4 linked regions of the Arabidopsis thaliana genome follow. The protein of the gene in region 1 interacts with the protein of each later gene in a pairwise test. Each region holds a gene or a part of one and is shown in the gene's direction. Other genes may lie near its edges. The genes, in order: AT1G21940, NRAMP2, AT5G03545 and AT5G35460.

Evidence for each region.
Region 2: the proteins of AT1G21940 (region 1) and NRAMP2 interact in a protein complementation assay, tested with the Arabidopsis thaliana proteins (one large-scale study listed by BioGRID).
Region 3: the proteins of AT1G21940 (region 1) and AT5G03545 interact in a protein complementation assay, tested with the Arabidopsis thaliana proteins (one large-scale study listed by BioGRID).
Region 4: the proteins of AT1G21940 (region 1) and AT5G35460 interact in a protein complementation assay, tested with the Arabidopsis thaliana proteins (one large-scale study listed by BioGRID).

Annotation. Positions count from the first base shown.
Region 1 is NC_003070.9:7,714,282-7,719,487, reverse strand, and holds AT1G21940 (uncharacterized protein), read left to right. Parts: upstream 1-2,512; coding exon 2,513-2,672; intron 2,673-3,926; coding exon 3,927-4,318; downstream 4,319-5,206. Other genes in the region: AT1G21930 (uncharacterized protein), read right to left, coding at 5,190-5,206.
Region 2 is NC_003070.9:17,307,779-17,313,741, reverse strand, and holds NRAMP2 (NRAMP metal ion transporter 2), read left to right. Parts: upstream 1-2,236; 5' UTR 2,237-2,433; coding exon 2,434-3,005; intron 3,006-3,375; coding exon 3,376-3,512; intron 3,513-3,600; coding exon 3,601-4,253; intron 4,254-4,468; coding exon 4,469-4,699; 3' UTR 4,700-4,939; downstream 4,940-5,963. Other genes in the region: CYCA3;4 (CYCLIN A3;4), read right to left, coding at 5,155-5,238, 5,324-5,458, 5,541-5,690, 5,781-5,814, 5,915-5,963. UniProt on the Arabidopsis thaliana protein: Seems to be involved in iron uptake.
Region 3 is NC_003076.8:891,918-896,229, forward strand, and holds AT5G03545 (expressed in response to phosphate starvation protein), read left to right. Parts: upstream 1-2,664; 5' UTR 2,665-3,129; coding exon 3,130-3,342; 3' UTR 3,343-3,600; downstream 3,601-4,312. Other genes in the region: EXO70A1 (exocyst subunit exo70 family protein A1), read left to right, coding at 1-17, 629-834, 953-1,153, 1,255-1,354, 1,444-1,544, 1,637-1,783, 1,882-1,999; AT5G03550 (MATH domain/coiled-coil protein), read right to left, coding at 3,896-4,228.
Region 4 is NC_003076.8:13,669,940-13,676,298, forward strand, and holds AT5G35460 (uncharacterized protein), read left to right. Parts: upstream 1-2,549; 5' UTR 2,550-2,658; coding exon 2,659-2,739; intron 2,740-2,839; coding exon 2,840-2,959; intron 2,960-3,045; coding exon 3,046-3,103; intron 3,104-3,195; coding exon 3,196-3,296; intron 3,297-3,375; coding exon 3,376-3,471; intron 3,472-3,559; coding exon 3,560-3,653; intron 3,654-3,886; coding exon 3,887-4,124; intron 4,125-4,249; coding exon 4,250-4,607; 3' UTR 4,608-5,564; downstream 5,565-6,359. Other genes in the region: AT5G35450 (Disease resistance protein (CC-NBS-LRR class) family), read left to right, coding at 1-746. UniProt on the Arabidopsis thaliana protein: Glycerophosphocholine acyltransferase (GPCAT) that utilizes acyl-CoA to acylate glycero-3-phosphocholine (GPC), forming lysophosphatidylcholine (LPC).

The DNA of each region.
Region 1 (5,206 bases):
TACATTTGAGAGAAGGAAGTAATTACTTTTACCAAGTGATTTCGGCTTGATCGGACCACACACATCGGTATGTATTAGCTCCAACGGTTTTTGAGCTCTTGAACTTGACTCCTTTGGAAAGCTCATTTTGAATTGCTTTCCAAGTAGACATCCTTCACACACTTGATTTGGATGATTTATACAAGGTAGCCCTCTCACCATTTCCTTCCTTGAAAGCAACTCCAATCCTCCAAAATTTAGATGTCCGAATCGAAGATGCCATAGCCAAGACTCCTCTTTGTAACACATCTTGAGACATTGTGCAATGTCATTTCGAATGTTGAGGACAAACATTCTATTTTTCGACATTGGCACCTTGGTAATGAGATTGCTTTCTTGGTCTCTTATTGAAAGGTTATTATCTTTTAATCTAATATCATAACCTTTCTCTAAGAGTTGTCCAAGGCTCAAGATGTTTGTCTTCATGCTCGGAATATAGTAAACGTTGGATATAAATTGATGATCTCCATTCTTCAATCGAATGAGAATGTTTCCTTTACCTTTTACCTCCATCTTCGATTCATCTCCTAAAGCCACATTTCCTCTCACCGATTCATCAAGCTCCGCGAACATACTTTTTCTCCCGCACATGTGATTACTTGCACCACTATCGAGGTACCACTTATGATTCTCTTCTTGTTCATCTTTCTTGTAGCTAGCCATTAATAACATGTCTTCTTCTTGAATTTTTTCTTCAACGTAGTTGGCCTTCTCCTCAAATTTTTTGTTGCTAGGAGCTTTACATTCAGAAGCCTAATGTCCAAACTTCCCACAATTGTAGCATTTGACACTTGATTTATCGTATCTTGATTTTGGGTGTCCTTTCCCACGACCTCTTGATGAGTTTTCACCTCTTTGGTTTGTGTTGTCTTCATGTGGCCTCCAACCACGTCCATTTCCATATCCACCACGACCTCGTCCTCGTACTTCACCACCACCTCTTCTTTGGTAACTTTGGCCGTTTTCTTCTTTTGTAATTCGCATATTGAGGACTTGTTCGACGATATCTTCTTTCTTCTTCTTCTTTTCTTCATAAGCTTGTAATGACCCAAGAAGTTGCTCTATTGTCATAGCTTCTAAATCTTTTGTTTCTTCAATGACGGTGACAATATGCTCAAATTTTAGATCCAATGATCTAAGAACTTTCTCCATGATTCTCACATCATCTAGCTTCTCTCCGTTTCTTTTAAGGTTATTAGTAACCGTCAACACTCTTGAGAAGTAGTCGGAGACGAGTTCACCTTCCTTCATTTGTAGTGCTTCAAATTCTCCTCTTAGAGTTTGAAGACGTACTTTCTTGACTTGATCGACACCTTTGTAAGAGGTTCGAAGCTTCTCCCATGCTTCTTTCGCCGACGTAGCTTCAACGACCTTCTCGAACGTATCTTCATCTAATCCTTGATAGATTAGACAGAGAGCTTTCTTGTCTCTCTTTCTTGAGTCTCTCAAACCATCCTTTTGAGTTTGAGAAAGACTACCTTCATTCTCCGGTTCAATGAAACCTTTCTCGACTATCTCCCACACGTCATGTGCTCCTAGGATAGCCTTCATTTGTAGACTCCAATTATCATAGTTGCTCTTTGTGAGCACCGGGACTTGGAAGGGAACATTGTTACTCGCCATCTTTAGGATCTTCAAGTTCTGCTACCACTTTGTTAGAGTAAAATTATTTTAGAGGTAATGGAGAAAGTGTTTAAGTGTTTTGAGAGAGTTTTTTTGGAAATAGAACTTTAATTACTTTGCTTTAAACTTGAAGACAACTTCACAACATTGCAACATTTGAGAGGAGGAGGAGGTATTTATAGCCTCCAAACTACAAAATATCTAAAATATTTTAATCGTAAGTCTAGAGAGTTCTTATATAAGATCTAGATTACATTATTCAAATTATCTAGATTATTCTATTAGAGTATCTAGATTTTTATGTTTAAGGAGGTGGAAGATGATTCTACAAAATTTCTAGAATCTTTTAAGGAGGTGGAAATGATGATATTTCTAGAGAAAATTCTAAAACTTGAATTTGGCCATAATTAATTATTGGATAATTGATCCAATAATTAAACTTGATTCAAAATCAAGTTTAACTTTCAACACAGTCATCAAGACTCACGTCCCGTTAGAAAACGTACGATTACTATAACCAATTAACCATGGTCCACGGTCAAACTTTAACCGTGGTTAATTTAAATAAAAGAAACATTTTATGCTTATAAACTCCAAAAACCCTTATTATATAGATTTTCTCTCCCGAATCTGTTTTCATTTTCACAATCTTCGTCTCAAAATCTTGTTTTTCTTTTCTCCTGCAAGAATCTCTCGCCATGGAAGGAGTTGTTGAGCCACGTGAAGAGAATCGTGACAGGGACGTGAAGAGCTTCGTAGATTGAACGGTCGTTTTGTCGTCGCAGTGTTGCTTGAACTGTCCACAAGAGTCTGCAAAAGAGCAGCTGCTGGCTCAGATCCAAACCCGACGATGACCGGACACGTGGCGTATTCTTGGGCGATGGAGTTCAACTTGTGGGCGCATCTTGCTTTTATGCTTGTGATTCTCAAGATCATTGTTGCTCCGATGGTGGTGGAACTGGAACAGATGAGAAAAGTACGAGAAGAGTGTGACGTGCAGCTGCTCGTGGGTTTGATTTTTGTCGTCCTCACGATTGCTTTCTTAGCGTACCTTCGCTGCTCCGTCACCGGGTGAGTGGTGTGTCTTGAGTTTCTTCCACCGTTACTATGGACCTGTGTCTTTTAGTGAGACCATCGACGATGCTTACATTTATCATCTCTCTTTCTATCTACAATCTAGTTTTCGTTTTTTTCTTTCTTTGATGGGTTTGTTGTTTTGAACATTATGGTTTCTTTGATTAGAGGTTTGAATATTTGGACCTGTGATCGTTCAGTGAGACCATCGCGGATGCTCTGTATCTGCTTTTCGTTTATTTCTTTGGATTTGTGTTGTGAACATTTTGGTTTCTTGAATAAAAGGTTTAAACAAGATTTTCTGAATATTAATTGATATTGTAGTTACAACTTGCAATATTTATCACTTCATACTGTATTTGCATAGATAAAAATGCGTTAAAGTTTCGGATCGCATCCCTGAATACAATAATTAGTTTTACAAAGAAATCGATGTGTGTGTGAACCGTTTATGATATCGGATTAAGACTAATTACTTCATGTTCTTGATGATAGTTTCAAATTTTAGCTCAAAATGTTTAAGGAATTAGCTGCAAAATGCAGTCATGAACTGTTTTTTTATCAATTAAATTTACATAAGATCAATCCATTGTTCAACGTGTCGTAATCAGGCAACTGCTTTAACTTTTGTTTACCCAAAGTAGTAACATTTTAGAAAAACCGATGAATAAAACTTAGTAAAAAAGACCATATTTAACCCTTAACATTTTTTTTTGTTCAAAATTTCACAATTATCTAACAATATAAAATATTTCTAGTCTTTTTATAGGTAGTTATATGATCAAATACTAAACCATGCAGATATTTTTGGTCCCAATTCTGTGTAACCAAAATTGTCAATTTCCGGTTCAGCAACGAACGAAATTTTGTAACCAGTAATTCAAGAAACCAATTTTTAACAGTGACCAAAAGAGGTAAGTCCTTCGTCCACTCAATATCATCAGTCATCACCTCTCTCCTTGAAACTTTTTCAACACGTACGGATTATAAACCATGGTTAGAGAAAAAGCAAGGTTAAAAAATAAACTATGGTCCATGGTTAAAATTTTAACCATGGTTAGGTTATAAACCCTTCTTCTTTCCCTCTTTAACAAACTCCAAAACCTCTCAGAGACAAATTTTCTCACTTTTTCCCGGATTCTGATTTTTTCATCAATCATCGTTTCAAAATCTCCATTTTCTCCTGCAAGACTACGAGATCGCAATGGATGACGAAGATGGAGGTCGTGAGAGAAGAGAAGAAACTCGTCGTGTAAACGATCGTTTCTTTCTTGCAGTTTCGCTCGCCATTTTCACCGGAATCTGCAAACGAGCTTCTGGTTTCGACGGTTCATATCTAACGGAGACGACGAAGAACGGACACGTGGCGTTATACTGTGCATCAGAGCTGAACAAGATGGCCGATATGTGCTTTATGGTGGTGATTATCAGAATCGGTTTATCGATGCTTGGACTCACGTTTGCGCCGGTGGTGATGCGTAGACTACGAGAAGAGACGGACATGAAACTTACGTTGGGTTCTATCTGCCTAGCGATTTCGCTCTGCTTCTCCGCTTATCTTCGGTTCTTCGTCGTCGGATGAGTTTGTGTTCGCCGGAATCTTCCCTGTTAGAGTAAAATTCTTTTAGAGGTAATGGAGAAAGTGTTTAAGTGTTTTGAGAGAGTTTTTTAGGAAATATAACTTTTATTACTTTGCTTTAAACTTGAAGATAACTTCACAACATTGCAACATTTGAGAGGGGGAGGAGGTATTTATAGCCTCCAAACTACAAAATATCTAAAATATTTTAATCCTAAGTCTAGAGAGTTCTTACATAAGATTTAGATTACATTATTCAAATTATCTAGATTATTCTATTAGAGTATCTAGATTTTTATGTTTAAGGAGGTGGAAGATGATTCTAGAAAATTTCTAGAATCTTTTAAGGAGGTGGAAATGATGATATTTCTAGAGAAAACTCTAGAACTTGGATTTGGCCATAATTAATTATTGGATAATTGATCCAATAATTAAACTTATTCAAAATCAAGTTTAACTTTCAACATTCCCTCTGCTTTCGACTTGGAACGCCGTCGTTTTAGTGAGATTCATCGTTTATCGTTATAATAATCTTTCTTTGTTTCATTAGTTTGAACAAGAGTTTGTTGATAAAAGTTTTCACTTTGAACCTTTTTAGTTTTTGAATACCATTTGATATTGGAGTCCAAGATTTATCGATTCATATACATTGCTCGTAACAGTTTCAGATATATTATCGTATTAAATTCTATTGCTTCGTGTGTTGCAATTTCTTGGTGGAGATGACAATGTCAATGAATCAGTTGTAATCATGAAAAGCTTTCTTCTTTGTTTTCTCAAGATACATGGGATAATCACAATATCTTAAAACAAGTTTAACTTGTGAGTGGCATCAAATTACATCAAAGTCTTAGTGAGAAAGATGTAAAAAAGATTAGGACATGGAAGAGC
Region 2 (5,963 bases), 9.6 Mb from region 1:
TGAAAACATATTATAGAGAGAAACCAATTAGTCAAAATAACAAGCATCATTATACAAGAACACATTATAGAGTAGACATAACATGTTATCTATATAAAATACATGAACCAACTATAAATAACATGCAAAATATGAACAAACCTCTTGTTTTTAAACAAAAACCCTAGACGGACGAAGCAGAATCCAAAGAGTTTGAGGAAATTCCCAGATCTCGCCTTATCTAACTTCATGTAGAGAGATTAAGAAAAAATTGAGGGTTAGTAGAGAATAAATAAAAAAGAATCAAAACTTAGATCTGGACACAACAGGTAAGAACCCTATGCAAGATACTTATGGAAGTATACATGGGAAGAAATAGAAGAAGATATAGATAGAGGGAAAAAAGAACCGAACTTTAGATCTGGCCACAATCGTTATTTTCTATGCAATTGAAGTATAAAGGGGAAGAAATAGAAGAAGATCGGCGATAAATAAACGAAAATGAATGGAACGTAAGACGTTCAAAATCCTCGATATCGCCGAATCTGCAGTCATGGAACGTAAGACGTTCAAAATTTGGGTTAGTATAGTATAAAAGAGAACAGATCAAAAGACAATATTTACAAACCTCAAGTGTTTTTCAAACAAAACCCACAGCGTCAGCCACAAAAGCCTCCGATATCGCCTAATCTTCTTTCGTGAATAGTAAGAGACAAAAAATGGGTTAGTTGCATGTAAGAAACACAGATAAAGGACGCAATATCTACAAACCTCGTGGGTTATTCAAACAAAGCACATCAATATTTACAAACCTCATGTGTTTTCCAAAAAAGCACAGAAGGATTCCCAAAAAAAAAACAGAGACTTTAGCCGCAAACTCTCGATGGTCGCCTAACTTTCATTCATCAACAGTACACGAAACAAAATTAGGGTTAGTTAACAACGAACCGAACTTTAGATCTAGACACAAGCGATGATTGACATGCAATTAAAGGTATAGGGGAAGAGAAATAAGAAGAGCAACTGTAAATAATCGGAAATCAGTGGTTCTACTTACCCAAATCGTCGGCGAGGGAAGACCAAAAATTAATCCTTCGATTGTCACCGGCGACTGCAACGAGAAGACGATTTGAAAAGGATAATCGGAAACACAATCAATTTCTAGAAACAACTACTACTTGGATCGAAAAGATGAGAGCAACGACGATGAAATTAATCGCCGCCGAGAGAGGTTTTTTCGGTGAGAAAAATTTTTTTTTTTTTTTTTTTTTTTAATTTTAGGGTTATTACTTTGGTCGTGAGACAAACTTGGGCCGAATAATGCAATAGAATTCAAATTTCAAACCCAGAATCATACGCTCCCCAAACAGTGTCTTGTCGCTTTGATGTCTAAGGTTATACATGTAAAATTACATGTGTTTCCGACTTACCCCTGTAGCTCATGGCTATTCTCTTAATTTTTTTTGAATCCATGGCTATTTTATGTAGATACTCATTGAAATATGGTAAAAGAAGGTACAGTAGAAATACTAATTATGTTCATGCTTGAAAGTTGAAACACACAAAAAAAACGAATAACATGTTTTTATGATTTAAATAATGAGTGATGAAAACACACATGAAGGGATTGACAAAAATACTAGTCACTAAATATCCTCATGATACAAAAAAAAAAGAAAAAAAGAAAAATAGTCACTAAATATTCACTTAACTAAAAATCCTCATGATTTGTTCACTTTGGAAAATTCAGCAAAAAAATTTAGTAAGCTTATTGAATGTAAACCAGTAATTTCTGATGAGATTAAAACTGAGTTCTAGTTAAAAGACTTTCGGATGAGGAGGTTAAATTTTCATAATTTGCATCGCATCAAAAAAAAAAAAACATTTTATCAATGGTTGAGTTTCTGCTCATAAATTTTTGGAATGTGAGTAATACAATCATATCAACTATGCTATTCATGAAGCTCTAAAAAACTAATCATGAATCTTATATTGGAAACTCAATAAACTTTTGGTGTGGGATATTTAGTTTCACACATTGTGATCTATAAAAGAGAGGAAGAGATAGATCAAGCAATGGATCTAAAAATGTATAAAACACACACTTTATTCACTACCTTGTATTCAATTAACGTCATTAAAAAGCAAAGCTTTATTCAAATTTGTGACAATACAACTATGGCAACACTACACTAAATACATAATTTCAAAGCAAATTTATAACATAAAGTTTTTCTTCTTTTTTAGGCATTAATATAATAAAGTTGAATCTGGTACCAAAAAGTTACGAAAAAGAAACGCATTAATCTCTTTTTTAAAAAGCATCTGATTAAGTGCCTGCGTCTTCTTCTTCTTTTATCCCTCCAATTCAAAATTCAGGTACGTCGACGACACCACCACCACCACCGACAGAATATTCCGATTTAACCCTCACCGAATATTCCCTCTTCCTCCATGGAAAACGACGTCAAAGAGAATCTCGAAGAAGAGGAAGACCGTCTTCTTCCTCCTCCTCCTCCTTCACAATCTCTCCCATCCACCGATTCCGAATCCGAAGCGGCTTTCGAAACAAACGAAAAGATCCTAATCGTCGATTTCGAATCACCCGACGATCCAACAACCGGAGACACACCACCGCCATTCTCATGGCGGAAGCTCTGGTTATTCACCGGTCCAGGTTTCTTAATGAGTATAGCGTTTTTGGATCCAGGGAATCTAGAAGGAGATCTACAAGCTGGTGCAATCGCTGGCTATTCTCTGTTGTGGCTACTAATGTGGGCAACAGCTATGGGGTTGTTGATTCAGATGTTGTCAGCTAGAGTCGGTGTAGCTACTGGTCGTCATTTAGCTGAGCTTTGTCGTGATGAGTATCCTACTTGGGCTAGGTATGTGCTTTGGTCTATGGCGGAACTTGCTTTGATTGGTGCTGATATTCAAGAGGTTATTGGTAGTGCTATTGCTATTCAGATTCTTAGCCGTGGCTTCTTGCCTCTTTGGGCTGGTGTTGTTATTACTGCTTCCGATTGGTGAGTCCTTTCGATACTCTATTCGTTCTTTAGAGATGTTGGATTCGTAGAATTAGTAGAGACTTGGTTTGGAGAATCTTATGATTCATTCTGAAATTTTAAAACTTTGCGGATCATCTTAGCGGTATTGAGTTTGAGTATGGATCATTCGAACTCACAAATCAGTAGAAACTTGGTTTAGAGATTCATGATTCAATCTGAAGTTGAGAATTTGCTTTTACTTTGGCTGTTTTCTTGTAAAACTTTGCTAAGATGATCCAAACTCACAAATCAGTAGAGAATTGGTTTAACGATTTGTGATCGAATCTGAAATTAAGAAACTTGCTTTTTTGTATTTTGAAAACTTGGCTAATGAATTTGTTGCAAACAGTTTTTTATTTTTGTTTCTAGAGAATTACGGTGTGAGGAAGTTAGAAGCTGTTTTTGCAGTTTTGATCGCAACTATGGGTTTGTCCTTTGCTTGGATGTTTGGTGAAACAAAACCGAGTGGGAAAGAACTTATGATAGGTAAAGATTTCAGATTTTTACTCTTGAATTTCACTTTATTTGCTTTGATTTGAGTGCTTAAAAATCAAATCTTTGTGTTTATGGATAGGTATTTTACTACCGAGACTTAGCTCAAAGACAATTAGGCAAGCTGTAGGTGTTGTTGGCTGTGTTATAATGCCTCACAATGTGTTTTTGCATTCGGCTCTTGTACAATCGAGGAAAATCGATCCGAAGAGGAAATCCCGGGTTCAAGAAGCGCTTAATTACTATTTGATCGAGTCATCCGTCGCACTTTTCATCTCCTTCATGATTAACTTGTTTGTGACTACTGTCTTTGCAAAGGGGTTTTATGGAACTGAGAAAGCTAATAACATTGGCCTAGTTAATGCTGGTCAGTATCTTCAAGAAAAGTTTGGAGGCGGGCTTCTTCCGATTCTTTATATCTGGGGTATCGGGTTGTTAGCAGCCGGACAAAGCAGTACGATAACTGGTACATATGCTGGACAGTTTATAATGGGCGGTTTTCTGAATCTCCGGCTTAAGAAATGGATGAGGGCAGTAATAACAAGAAGCTGTGCTATTGTGCCTACAATGATTGTGGCAATCGTGTTCAATACTTCTGAAGCTTCCTTGGATGTTTTGAATGAATGGCTCAATGTCCTTCAGTCTGTACAAATTCCTTTTGCTCTTCTCCCTCTTCTAACCTTGGTATCCAAAGAAGAAATTATGGGAGACTTCAAGATTGGGCCTATTCTCCAGGTAAATTTCCACTTCTTTTACTACAAGTCTCCATAGGATACCACAATAGGTGAATTAGTGTTGAGTCTTATCGTTTTAGGTGTCTCGACTTTTTTAGTTTCACTGTTTGTGCAATTATCTTAGTAAACATGTAGAATTGAAAGTCCTTCAATGGAATAGAGAAGCATGAAGAGTGAGTATTTGTAAGTTGATTGGATTTATTGATTACATTGCAGAGAATAGCTTGGACTGTGGCTGCACTTGTAATGATCATCAATGGGTATCTTCTGTTGGATTTCTTTGTATCAGAAGTCGACGGGTTTCTGTTTGGAGTTACGGTCTGCGTCTGGACGACTGCTTATATCGCCTTTATAGTGTACCTCATTTCACACAGCAACTTTTTTCCTTCTCCTTGGTCATCCTCTTCCATAGAACTTCCCAAAAGAGTGTCCGTCTCCAATAGCTAGTAGCTGCACAAAAATAACTGCCCTCAAGACCATTTGTTACATGTCAAGAAGATACAGTAAACAAACTTCATCCACTATAGTCTTATACATATTGAAACGCCAAAGTGGTGATAAGAGTTAGCTTAGCTTTTTGTGAATGTTAACATCACAAATATGTAGTGGCAAAGTCTTTGTTGTACTTTTTTGTTTTTGTTAAGAGGATGTGCACATTCCAATATGATTTAAAGAGGCTTTTACATCATAGAAAAAAGCAGAAAACAAATCAATAAAAATCTAATAAACCATTGAAAAAATGGTCAAGCAAAAAAAAAAAAGTTTCTTAACTAGTGTTAGCAAAAATCATTGAACATACGCTAAAAGAGATAATACTCAATACTAATCTGCCATTCTAACAGATATATACAACCCAAAATTCAGGTAACTAACACTTCCAATACATAAGCTTCAAGCTTCTTTTACGCCATTCCTCTAATGGTAATATCTTCAAAGAAAGCAAGAGGTAGCTCCGGTGAAACAGGCATGGTCGCAACGCACTTGTACTGTACCAAGAGAATCAGATATTAGAATGTTCTTGTTGCAATATATCACAAGTTTAAAGTTACATCATTGAATTGTTGAATTTACCTTGTGTTGCTTGTACTTATTTCTAACAGCTTCTAGAGTGTTTCCTCTTCTGCTTAGATACAAGTCATGTATGATACCCACGCACACTTGTAGATCAGCTGCTTTGTACTTTGTGTATTCTTCTAGCATTTGATTCTGTTTGCATCACCAGAAGAGGATTTAGAATATAAAGAACTTTTTCTGTATAAGAACCTGTCATGGTTCTTAATTTGCTTACCCAAGGATGTTGTTTTGGACGGATGATGAACCGGGCAAGAAATACAGCTGAAGCAGACAAAAGAGATGGCAAATACTTCACACAGGTGTAATCTAACATACTCAATTCTGATAGATAGCAACAAAGGAACTCTATCTGCAATTGTGAGTCCTGCAAAGGCATGAAAAAAAAGAAGATTTAACAATAGAAATTATGAGATGCAAATGCCACAGTTTACAGGTACATCGATTTTGAGCTTACTTTGAAATCTTCTTGTGCAACCCGTGTAAACCGTCTGCACAAACACGACATAAAAAAGAGAATAACAATCAAAACAAGGGCAAGTAAAACCATGAAATCATAAGTTTAAACACCAGACTGTTTCAGAGTCGAACCTTAGGAATGTTTTGATGGTTGGGCTTCCTAATTCAAACTGCAGAGCAA
Region 3 (4,312 bases), on another chromosome or scaffold:
GGGAGCTTCATACAGAGGTAATAATCTTCTCATTAATATCATTAAGTCGCCATACATTTACTGAAGAGTCTTCTGTTAAATGGAAAAATTATTCTTTAGTTTCAGCTTTTGGTGGATTTTTTCTGATCTTTAAGAATGTCAGTTTTCAGTATCATGAACTTTGGTACATACTTGATTCACCTTCAAACCTGTATTCATTTGTATAAGCTAGTGAGGTGAAATGTTATAGAATATAGGATGCTGCAAACGTCTAGTTTTATTGACACTGACACACATAACGATTTACCATATTAAGACGTAAAACTTCAGTTTGCATACGCATAGAGTTCACCACTTACTTCTTAGAGATGTCAAACCTAGCTGCTTTGTTTACTTGAGGAGTAATATATGGAAAGTGATTGTCTTTAATGTTTTTCTTCCCATGTGGAGTTTCTATCAATCAGATATGTTTTTGACCAACTGAAATCCCCACCATAATAAACAGCATGGCACACAGAGAAAAAACTTTGTGATACATATGTAGTGGAAGTTTGCTATCTAGGACGACATAAAGTGTGAATTTTCTTATGACCAGTTTATGGTATAAGATTAGATGGTACAATCTCATGAAATTTGTGTCCATGGACAGATTGAGACAATTTTCAAAGGGAAAGCATGCCTCGAAATTAGAGATTCTGCGACGGGCTTGACAAAGCGGTTGGCGCAAACTGCTCAGGAAACATTTGGTGATTTTGAAGAAGCTGTTGAGAAAGATGCTACAAAGACTGCTGTTCTAGATGGAACTGTCCACCCACTAACAAGCTATGTCATCAATTATGTCAAGTTTTTATTCGAGTAAGTACATCATATATACTCAACTTATTTCCTCGAACTATTTGCGTATTGTTCTTCTCCATACTGCTATTTGCGTATTGTCCCTTTCCACGCTTTAATTGATGATCATTGGTGTCAGCTACCAAACAACATTGAAGCAACTTTTCTTGGAATTTGGAAATGGAGATGACTCAAATTCGCAGCTAGCATCCGTAACGATGCGGATAATGCAGGCGCTTCAAAACAACTTGGACGGAAAATCGAAACAGTACAAAGATCCTGCATTGACACACTTGTTCCTGATGAACAACATTCATTACATGGTCAGATCTGTGCGCAGGTATATTATTTTTCTCGTTTAAACTTTAAAGGCTGATCTGGTTTTATTAAAAAAATAAAAGAACGCACTCATTTAGCTTTATTCATATGATAATTTTTCAGGTCAGAAGCCAAGGATTTGTTAGGCGATGATTGGGTTCAAAGACATAGGCGTATCGTGCAGCAACATGCAAACCAATACAAAAGAGTTGCCTGGACAAAGGTTCTGTCTATTTGTCTAACTCTGTAAAGAAACACTATTATATAAAATTTCATTAAATTGTTACTAAGAAACTGTTACATATTTTGTAGATACTACAAAGCTCATCGGCGCAAGGTTTGACCTCATCTGGGGGAGGAAGTTTAGAGGGAGGAAACAGCAGTGGAGTTTCAAGAGGATTATTAAAAGAGAGGTAAGTCCTAAACATGTAAAATAAACACAGTAATTGGCAAATGTTTATATATTTGGTAATGATGATAAATCTGTAAAAAAAAAATGGAACAGGTTCAAGATGTTCAATATGCAGTTTGATGAGTTGCATCAGAGACAATCGCAATGGACAGTTCCAGACACAGAGTTAAGAGAGTCACTAAGACTTGCTGTTGCTGAAGTATTATTGCCTGCTTATAGATCATTCCTCAAACGCTTTGGGTAAAAATCTCCTTTCTCTCTTTACTGCGAAGGCTTTTCTAATATTTGATTGAAATGTAAAAAAACCTAAATGAGATTTTAACCTATGATCGATGCAGGCCTTTGGTTGAGAGTGGGAAGAATCCTCAGAAATACATAAAGTATACAGCTGAAGATCTTGAAAGATTGTTGGGTGAGTTGTTTGAAGGAAAGTCTATGAATGAACCACGCCGGTAAAAAAACAACTAAAAGATGATGAAAACTAATTGTGTAAGGTAAATTTCTATCAAACTCTTCTTTTTTTTGGCTTACCTTACATAACTAGGTTCGTTGCTATTGTATATGCAGTGTCAACTTTTCGTTTTTTGTATTCTACTATTCTTTGGTTGGAATGAGAATGTGTAAATTACTTGGAGACAGAGTTGTTTCCTTTTGTATACGTTAAACGTTTTGAAATAACCATGGCCTAATAAGTCTAATCTCAACTCACAAGGATATGAAATCTTTTTTCTTAGAATGAAATTAATCGGAAATCAAAATCCTAGGCGTAATTTATAAAAAAAAATATGCAGTGAAGGAGCTAAGTTATAAGTTGATATGATTGACAATTGCTTTGAGACGAGCTTTGGTACTAAAGATCGAGCCAATAATATTTGTCCGAACAGCTGAACTAAGCTTGGGGACAAGATTGTCATGCGGATCAATTCTGTTATTTTCTTAATGGATTTTAGGTGATTAATCAGTTGTTATTGAACAGAACAAGACAGATAGAGCTCTACCGACTTGCATACTTAAATGAAAGAAATATGATTTATTAGTAAAATAAAGAGTGATGAGATGGTTTTGTTGTTTTAAAACACACATGTTTGGTAATTGGCATATTCCTTTTAGAAGATCCAAATTCTCCCAACATCTTTACATGGACTTCCCCATTTCCATCATCTCCTTCCACTTTTTTCCCAAAATAATATAAAAAAATGATAATTTGAATCGATGTAATGAGTGTATTCAACCTCTTGTATAATTTGTCTCCATGACCAAAGACAAAGAGAGAAGCCATAAAAACCCTAACAACATCCATTGTTGAAACTCTCTTTGGCACAACACCAAACACACAAAATATGGCCATCCCCTAAAGAAACTGAAGCTCAAGAACCCTCTGAATCTATCAGAAGATCTCACCAATAAAGGGTTTTGAGAGGTTCAAGTTTCTCTTTATGGGATGGCCCCAAACACAAGAGTACTCACAAAAGGTAAGAAGAAGAAGAGATCTCTTGGAGATTATGATTGTGAATGTTCGTGTGTGGGTGTTGTGTAAATGATCATCATCATCATCATCATCATTATCCAATATCATAATTATCAATATGGTGATGATGATGATGATGAGGATTGTGTGTGAATGGAGCGATGAAGATTGCATGAAGGTTGATGAAGACAAGCTTGATGTGTCTTTTGTTATCCCTCGTTTGGGCAACTTCGATCCTTTGGCAAGCTTCGGTTCCCCTCGGAATCAGCAGATTATGATTACTATAGCTCTTATATGTTTATGTTCCGTGTTTACTTTGTTTCCGGTTTAGTTTGGTTTATTGTCTTTAATTTCGTCATGTTTGTGTTGAATGTGTGTTGTTGTTATCCCGTGTGATGCACCATTCAGGTGTGTTCCTATGTGTGTGTGAGGAATAAAAGAATATTCGGTTTTGATATCTAAAATCAAACCCCACTTCTACCTTTCATTAATAGTGAGTGTCTTCAAACAATTTTGTTTTAGCAATCTGTGTATACCTTTATCAAAAATACTTTTAAGCTGGCCCATTCTTAGCCCATTAATAGTCCAGTTTTAGCCAATTGAAATCGGGTAAATTTAAACACATTCATTCTTCTAATATGAGCATCTATGAAGAAACCCAAGAGAGCCCTAATCAAACCGTGTCTGACAAGCTATTAAATAAAAAGTCGTATAAAGTAAAACAAACTAGAAAACCTACTACAGAAAACGTAGGGGTATCTAATTATGTTTTTTTCCGAATAATACATGATTATTGTTTCTAGATAAACAATCCATAATAATAATATTAAAAAAAAAAAAAGATTAGATAACCCTAAATAACCATTATGTTATTCTAAAGTGTTTTAGAAAAAATTAAAATATAGTCGCCCATCTTTTGTTGCGTGTATCCAGCTTGGTTGCTTCTTCAACTTCTTCTTCTCCTTTTTCCTCTCACTATTGAGATCAGTCGCAGTCATCACGAGTTTCTTGACCTCTAGTTTGAGTTCCAGAATCCGTTCTTCAGAAGTCTTCTTCTCCAAGGAAACCATGTCAAGCTTTGACTGCAACCAATCCAGGTTAAAACCGGCTTGTGTCAGATCACACATATCCTTTGAAGCTTTGCTCAATTCTGCTTCGGTGAGATAACCAAGAGGCGTGTGGTAAAGTATCCCGATGATGTCGCAGAGAAGGTTCATTTAAGTATTCCTGAGAGCTTGGTTTTGCACTTTGACATGGTCTGTAGTTTCTGGATATGTCTGAAAAATCCACTTTGCTAACGT
Region 4 (6,359 bases), on another chromosome or scaffold:
ATAAAACCAAGTTGGAATTGGGTGATCTAGTGAACCTGGAGTACTTGTGGTGTTTCTCAACGCAACACAGTAGTGTGACAGACCTCCTCCGTATGACCAAGCTCAGGTTTTTCGGTGTATCTTTTAGTGAAAGGTGTACTTTTGAAAATCTATCTTCATCTCTCCGTCAATTTCGAAAGCTGGAGACACTTAGTTTCATTTATTCGCGCAAAACCTATATGGTTGATTATGTGGGAGAATTCGTTCTGGATTTTATTCATCTAAAGAAGTTAAGTTTGGGAGTACATTTGTCAAAGATTCCTGATCAACATCAATTACCTCCCCACATTGCACACATATATTTATTGTTTTGCCACATGGAGGAGGATCCAATGCCAATTCTAGAAAAGTTGCTTCATCTGAAGTCGGTTGAATTAAGACGCAAGGCTTTCATAGGGAGGAGAATGGTGTGCTCAAAAGGCGGGTTTCCTCAATTACGTGCTCTACAAATATCTGAACAATCGGAGTTGGAAGAGTGGATAGTAGAAGAAGGGTCGATGCCATGTCTTCGTGATTTAATTATACATAGTTGCGAAAAGTTGGAGGAACTTCCTGACGGACTCAAGTATGTAACATCCTTAAAGGAACTGAAGATTGAAGGAATGAAGAGGGAGTGGAAGGAGAAATTGGTTGGAGAAGATTACTACAAAGTCCAACACATTCCCGATGTTCAATTTTTCAACTGTGACGACGAACAAAGAGAATAACCAGTAGCAGGTAAAAAATAAACGGTATAATAATGTTCACTTTTCAAAGTCATGTGGACAGTCTCAACTTTTATACATTGTTCTAAAATCGATCATCTTTTAAATAGATGCAGGAAAGAACAAGAAGCTAGTCAAATTCTCTTATATTGGGAGAGATAGAGGCTGCTTCACAAGAGTCATCTACTGATAAATCTCTGGAATACAGATTCTGAAGTACTACTGATTACGTTGGAGCTCTCGCTTTCAGTGCATCGTTATGTTGTGGCTCAGAACTATATGCTTTTTATTGATGTTTGTTTTCGGTGTGGATGCATGGAACGTGCTTGAGAACTCTTTCATAAAATTGAGAAACGAACCTTGTTTTTTTTGTAGTTCATTGTAAAAATTGGATATTTATGTTTATACGAATTTGTTTTGTTTTCTCGTTTGTGATTTAACACAGTTAGCTAGCTTTTGTAAGCTTTATTTACATCAAATCTGGTTAGATTTGTTTTTTATCACATTTAGGCTTAAGTTTTGTTAGTTTTGCACCTCTTTTACTGTGTACGCATAGTGAAGTCATGGTTGAACCAAGACGAGCAAAACTGATGTACAATAAACAAAACAATCTCATTTTGTACAAGTTTTTTGTTTCATTTTAATTTCTTTTATCAGTACTGTGTGATATTTGCACTCGTGACTTAGACTTGGGTCGTTGAGGGATTAGTCGATTTCTTGTTCAGGAACAACATAAGATTGTCAGAACAAAACACCAGTTTTTGTACTTTTGTTTTTAAATCTTGTTTCAACTTCAGACAGACCCCCTTATTCTATGGCTTTAGTATATTTGTTTACTTTTGAACAATGTTCAAAAAAGTGTTAGGCGATAAACGGGCGATGACCCAACGCCTAGCGTTTAGAACGCTTAGTCGGGGTTTAAGTGATTTTAGGTGGTTTATCCGTTTATGACATAAAACATTTTAAATATGATATTATAGATAAAAATCATATAAAACTATATATTAGAAAATATTAATCGGATCCTAATCAAAAATTAGATAAAAATGTTTCTTTAATTTATATCAACAATATATGAATGTTTATAACCATGTGTAGAAGTAAAACTTATAAAATTTAAGCAATATTAGTTAAAAATAAAAAAAATATACTAAAACGAAATTTATGTTATTTTAGGCAGTCGAGATGATTATTTAGGCGTCAACTGAACGCTTAGCGGCATATAAACGACCGTCTAGACCGCTTTTTACAACACTGCTTTTGAATCTTTCAAACTTCATCCAAAAACAAAACTAAAGCTTCTGGAACATGTGAAACCTTGTCAAGAAACTCTAGTTTTGAACTCATAAAACCTAGTTAAGAAGTTTTTTTTTTTTGTCGGCACCTAGTAAAGAAGTTATACCACAGCATTCTTTTTTTACTTTTTTTCTTTAATACAAGATGCAATTAAACAAAATGTTCCTCTAACTATAATAATGTAGAAAAATACGTGTACGCTAGGAAATTTCTCGACCCGCGCAAAAGAGGGTCCTAGAAGTTTCAACTTTCGACACGTGGCTCCTTCTCAGTCTCTCTTATTAAAGTCTTTAAATTATATAATCACCAAAGGCAATTAATGGAATTAATTTACTTTGAGGACTAATATTCCATCTGATTTCCCAAGATAAAACATAAAGTCCTTATTACTTAATTATGAATGTAATTATTGGATTACATGTAATTAATCACCACTTTATAAAACTGAACAAAAATAGTAACGAATATAAAGAGTTTAATAATGATTTTTGGGTCATTTTCCTTCACCAAATTTTTAATTCCGCATAAAGTAAAATATCCTGAAAACAGAAAAATTCAGTGTTTTCGGATTCTCCTTTAAAAACGACAAAAGCATCTACAGAGAAATCTGACCGCAATAATGGCGAATAACGAAGATTCAAACTCCAATGGACTAGACTCGTTTGATGCTGTTAAACAACGTTTCAAAGATCGATCAAAGGTACAACATCAGATTCGATTTTCACCATTTTTGATGTTTCTCTTTTGTTCCAATTTTGTTGATTTTGACTTTGTGGACCAATTGTTTTTGATTTTGACAGAAAGTTGTTCAGACGAGAGAGTTGTTGTCTAAACAAGCGGTACAAACGCGTGAGATCTTATCGAAACAAGCCGTTAAGATCGCTAAACAAGCCGAAGAACATGAGAGATTCATCAATAAGGTTAGGTTTCTCTCTTGATTCTTCAATCATGTTTTGATTTTAAGTTACTTTGGTTTGAAAATGTTTGGTTCTGTAATGTTTTAAAGGTGACACATCTCGTTGGTGTGCTTGGATTTGGAGGTTTTTGTTTCCTACTTGGTGCAAGTGAGTTCAAAGAAATTGTGTTTTTTTTTTGTTTTTTTTGTGTTTTGTTCTTAATTCAATGTTGTTGATGTTGATGATGTTTTCGTTTTCAGGACCTCAAGACATTCCTTTAGTTTACTGTTTCTTCTATGTGATCTTTGTTCCTCTTCGATGGATATATTACCGGTTTAAGAAATGGCATTATTATCTTCTGGTAATGTCTCTTTTGAGGATTTGGAATTAAGAAACAGTCGTTTTGATTGTTATTGAAACAATTTTTGTGTATGTGATAGGACTTTTGCTACTATGCCAATACAATCTTCTTGGTTGATCTTCTTCTGTATCCTAAGAATGAAAAGCTTTTCATGGTTTGCTTTTCCTTTGCTGAGGTATGCTTTTTAACTACATGTATGTATATGAGTCTTTTGTGTCATTGTGTGTGCTGATTTATTTTATTGGTTGTGTCTTGTGCTGCAGGGACCATTGGCGTGGGCGATTATTGTCTGGCGTTGCAGTCTGGTTTTTAGTTCGCCGGATAAGATTGTTAGTGTTCTTATACATCTCTTACCTGGTGAGTTCTATAATCTTCTTGTTGACAGAAGAAGATATGTTATTGATTCATATTGCTAAAGTTGACGGCTTTGATTAAAGTAGTTGTATGAATTCTTAGCTTGTTGTTCCCCTCTCAACCGTTTTTAATTCAAACACATGGTTCCTTGTTGTAATGCATATGATAGATATAGTTAAGCTTTATGCTCTCTCTCTCCATTGTTTCTTTATTATTGTAATGAATTTTGGTTTCAGGGCTCGTGTTTTTCACGATTAGGTGGTGGAATCCAGCGACTTTTGCAGCTATGCACCCTGTAGGCACTGATCGTAGGGTTTCATGGCCTTATGTTGAAGACAAAGCTTACCTATTCACATGGCTGTTTCTCGTCCCCTTAGTCGTTTATACTCTTTGGCAAGTGCTCTATTTTCTAATCGTCAATGTCCTGCGTAGGCAGAGACTCCTTAGAGATCCTGAAGTTATGACTTCTTACAGGTATCTCTTGTCTACGCCGTATGTTAATGTTCTCCTCATATTGATCGCTAAGGTCACAGCATAATGTAATGTGTTCTTACCATAGAGTGAACACTTGTATTGATGGAATCCTTTGGTATGTGCAGAGAGCTGTCGAAGAAAGCTGAAAAGGCAAACAATAAGTTGTGGCAGCTGAGCGGTCTGCTAGGGGATCAGAATCGTATATGGATGTACATCCTATTCCAGGCCATCTTCACGGTGGCAACCATGGCATTGACCGTACCGATCTTCCTATCTTATAGACTTCATGTGATCTTTCAGATCCTAAAGATTTCTGCGGCTGTGTGGAACGGAGGGAGCTTTTTACTAGAGGTAATGCCACGGCAAGTGATCCAGAAAGAGAAGAAGAAGAAAGCTGAGATGCAGCCGATAGAGGAGCAGATACTACATCATGAAGCTGTGTCACATCCGACTGAGAATGAGCCAAAATCTACTGAAACATGATCATGGTTCTAACAAAAAGGTACATGTAAAATAAAGTTTTCAAAGGTGAATCATGATTGGTGTTTTTTTTGTTCCTCATGTTTTGTTCTATAACTGTTTGTTTCTCTTGTTGCTATACATCATTCTAAAAGCTTAATGTATGTGAATGATCTTGTAGTTTATTTTTTCTAAAGAAACTTGTTATTTACTCTTTAGCCAAAGTTTTGATCCTGTTTCGCTAGGACATTCTGGCCTTAAAATTGCATTATGAGAGATTTAACTATATTTTTAACGCGTTTTCGAGAAAGGAAAATCTTCGGATTTCAGCGAAGTAGATTGGGATAAGTTCTCCTTGAGACGCGGATTTTGTTTTCTGTTTCTGCTGTACAAAACAACCATCACTAAAGATCATAACATTCATGTGTTTGATAGTGCATAGTTCTCGAACATGTCGTTACCAGCCGCGGAATAAGCTTAATAAGTATGCCGATAGCATTATGAAATCCATCATGTCCGATACGACTATTGTTCAGTGGAGATGAAGCTTAATAACTTGAGTTCCGCCAAAGAATTCACTCAAAAATCGACCATGAAGAGGATTTTGATCGATGCAAATCGCCCCTGTAACGAGCTGATTTGGAAGAAGACTCAAGAACCACCAATTTGCACCGTACGGTCAAATTGAGTCAAACCAAACCGAAGAGCCCCCTGATGTACTTGAAGACTTTCTGCTGATTATATTCACCCTCATGAAAAGACTACACGACGTTTAGAAGCTGCGACTTTAACTTAGCTCTCGACGCCATCACCGAAGATCCTCCATTATAGCCTAACGGCTAGAATCATCACGCTCCTCTCTTTATTTCGCATTATTCGGTTTCCTTTTCTAAGTTTTAGACCATTGTTGTACTTTTCAATTTAAGCTCTTTGATTCTCTACTTTGTATTCACGCTTTGATCAATTGAAATTCAGTTTGTTTCTTGCTTCAATACTTTGTATCTTGAATCAAATCTGTTCTTGCGAGTTCTAGGTTGTTTGTAGAATCAAATACTTCTCATCTAAAAGCTTCCATCGCTCGCTTCTAAGCATTGGACCCGTGAGCCTTGTCTTGGTGGAATCCAGGACGTGTAGTCGTGTATCACATGAAATGAATGGAATAAGATTTTGATTATATAATCTACAAAGTAGGTCGCATTAAGATACATGCCAAATACCGCACTGAACAGAGAAAGAAAACAGAAAATCAATGTAAATATTGTTGGTGTGTCCTTGACTACAATGTTTTTTGAAAAATTATCTTGATCATGTGTTTTGTCAGGTCCGAGTTGTCCATGATATCAATATTCATGATGGTAATCGATCAACCTTTGAGAGTATAGTAACAACACTTGGCATATTTCTCACTTACGCTAGTCTCATTTTTTGTTCATTCAATGAAAAAACTTAATTTTATGAATAAAATTTCTCGAAATGCGCTTAAGACCTTGACAGTACGACAATCTATATTTACTAAACTGAGAAAAAATTGCCAACGCTGTTAAGGAGGTTGAGGTTGGACATGGGTGGTGGCCGGAACCAGCAAAACTGATCCACTAGCACGGCGAATACAAGACCTTTTTTTTGTGACACTATCAATGGGTTCGAGTTGACTATTCGGTTTCCGTCTCTGAGCCGATTCTAGCGACTTGCTTGATCCGCAATAAATCTCCCAAAATGCTAATTAACATTTTTAGATTCTAATATTTTGTTATAAGCTTTTGAGACTGTACACAT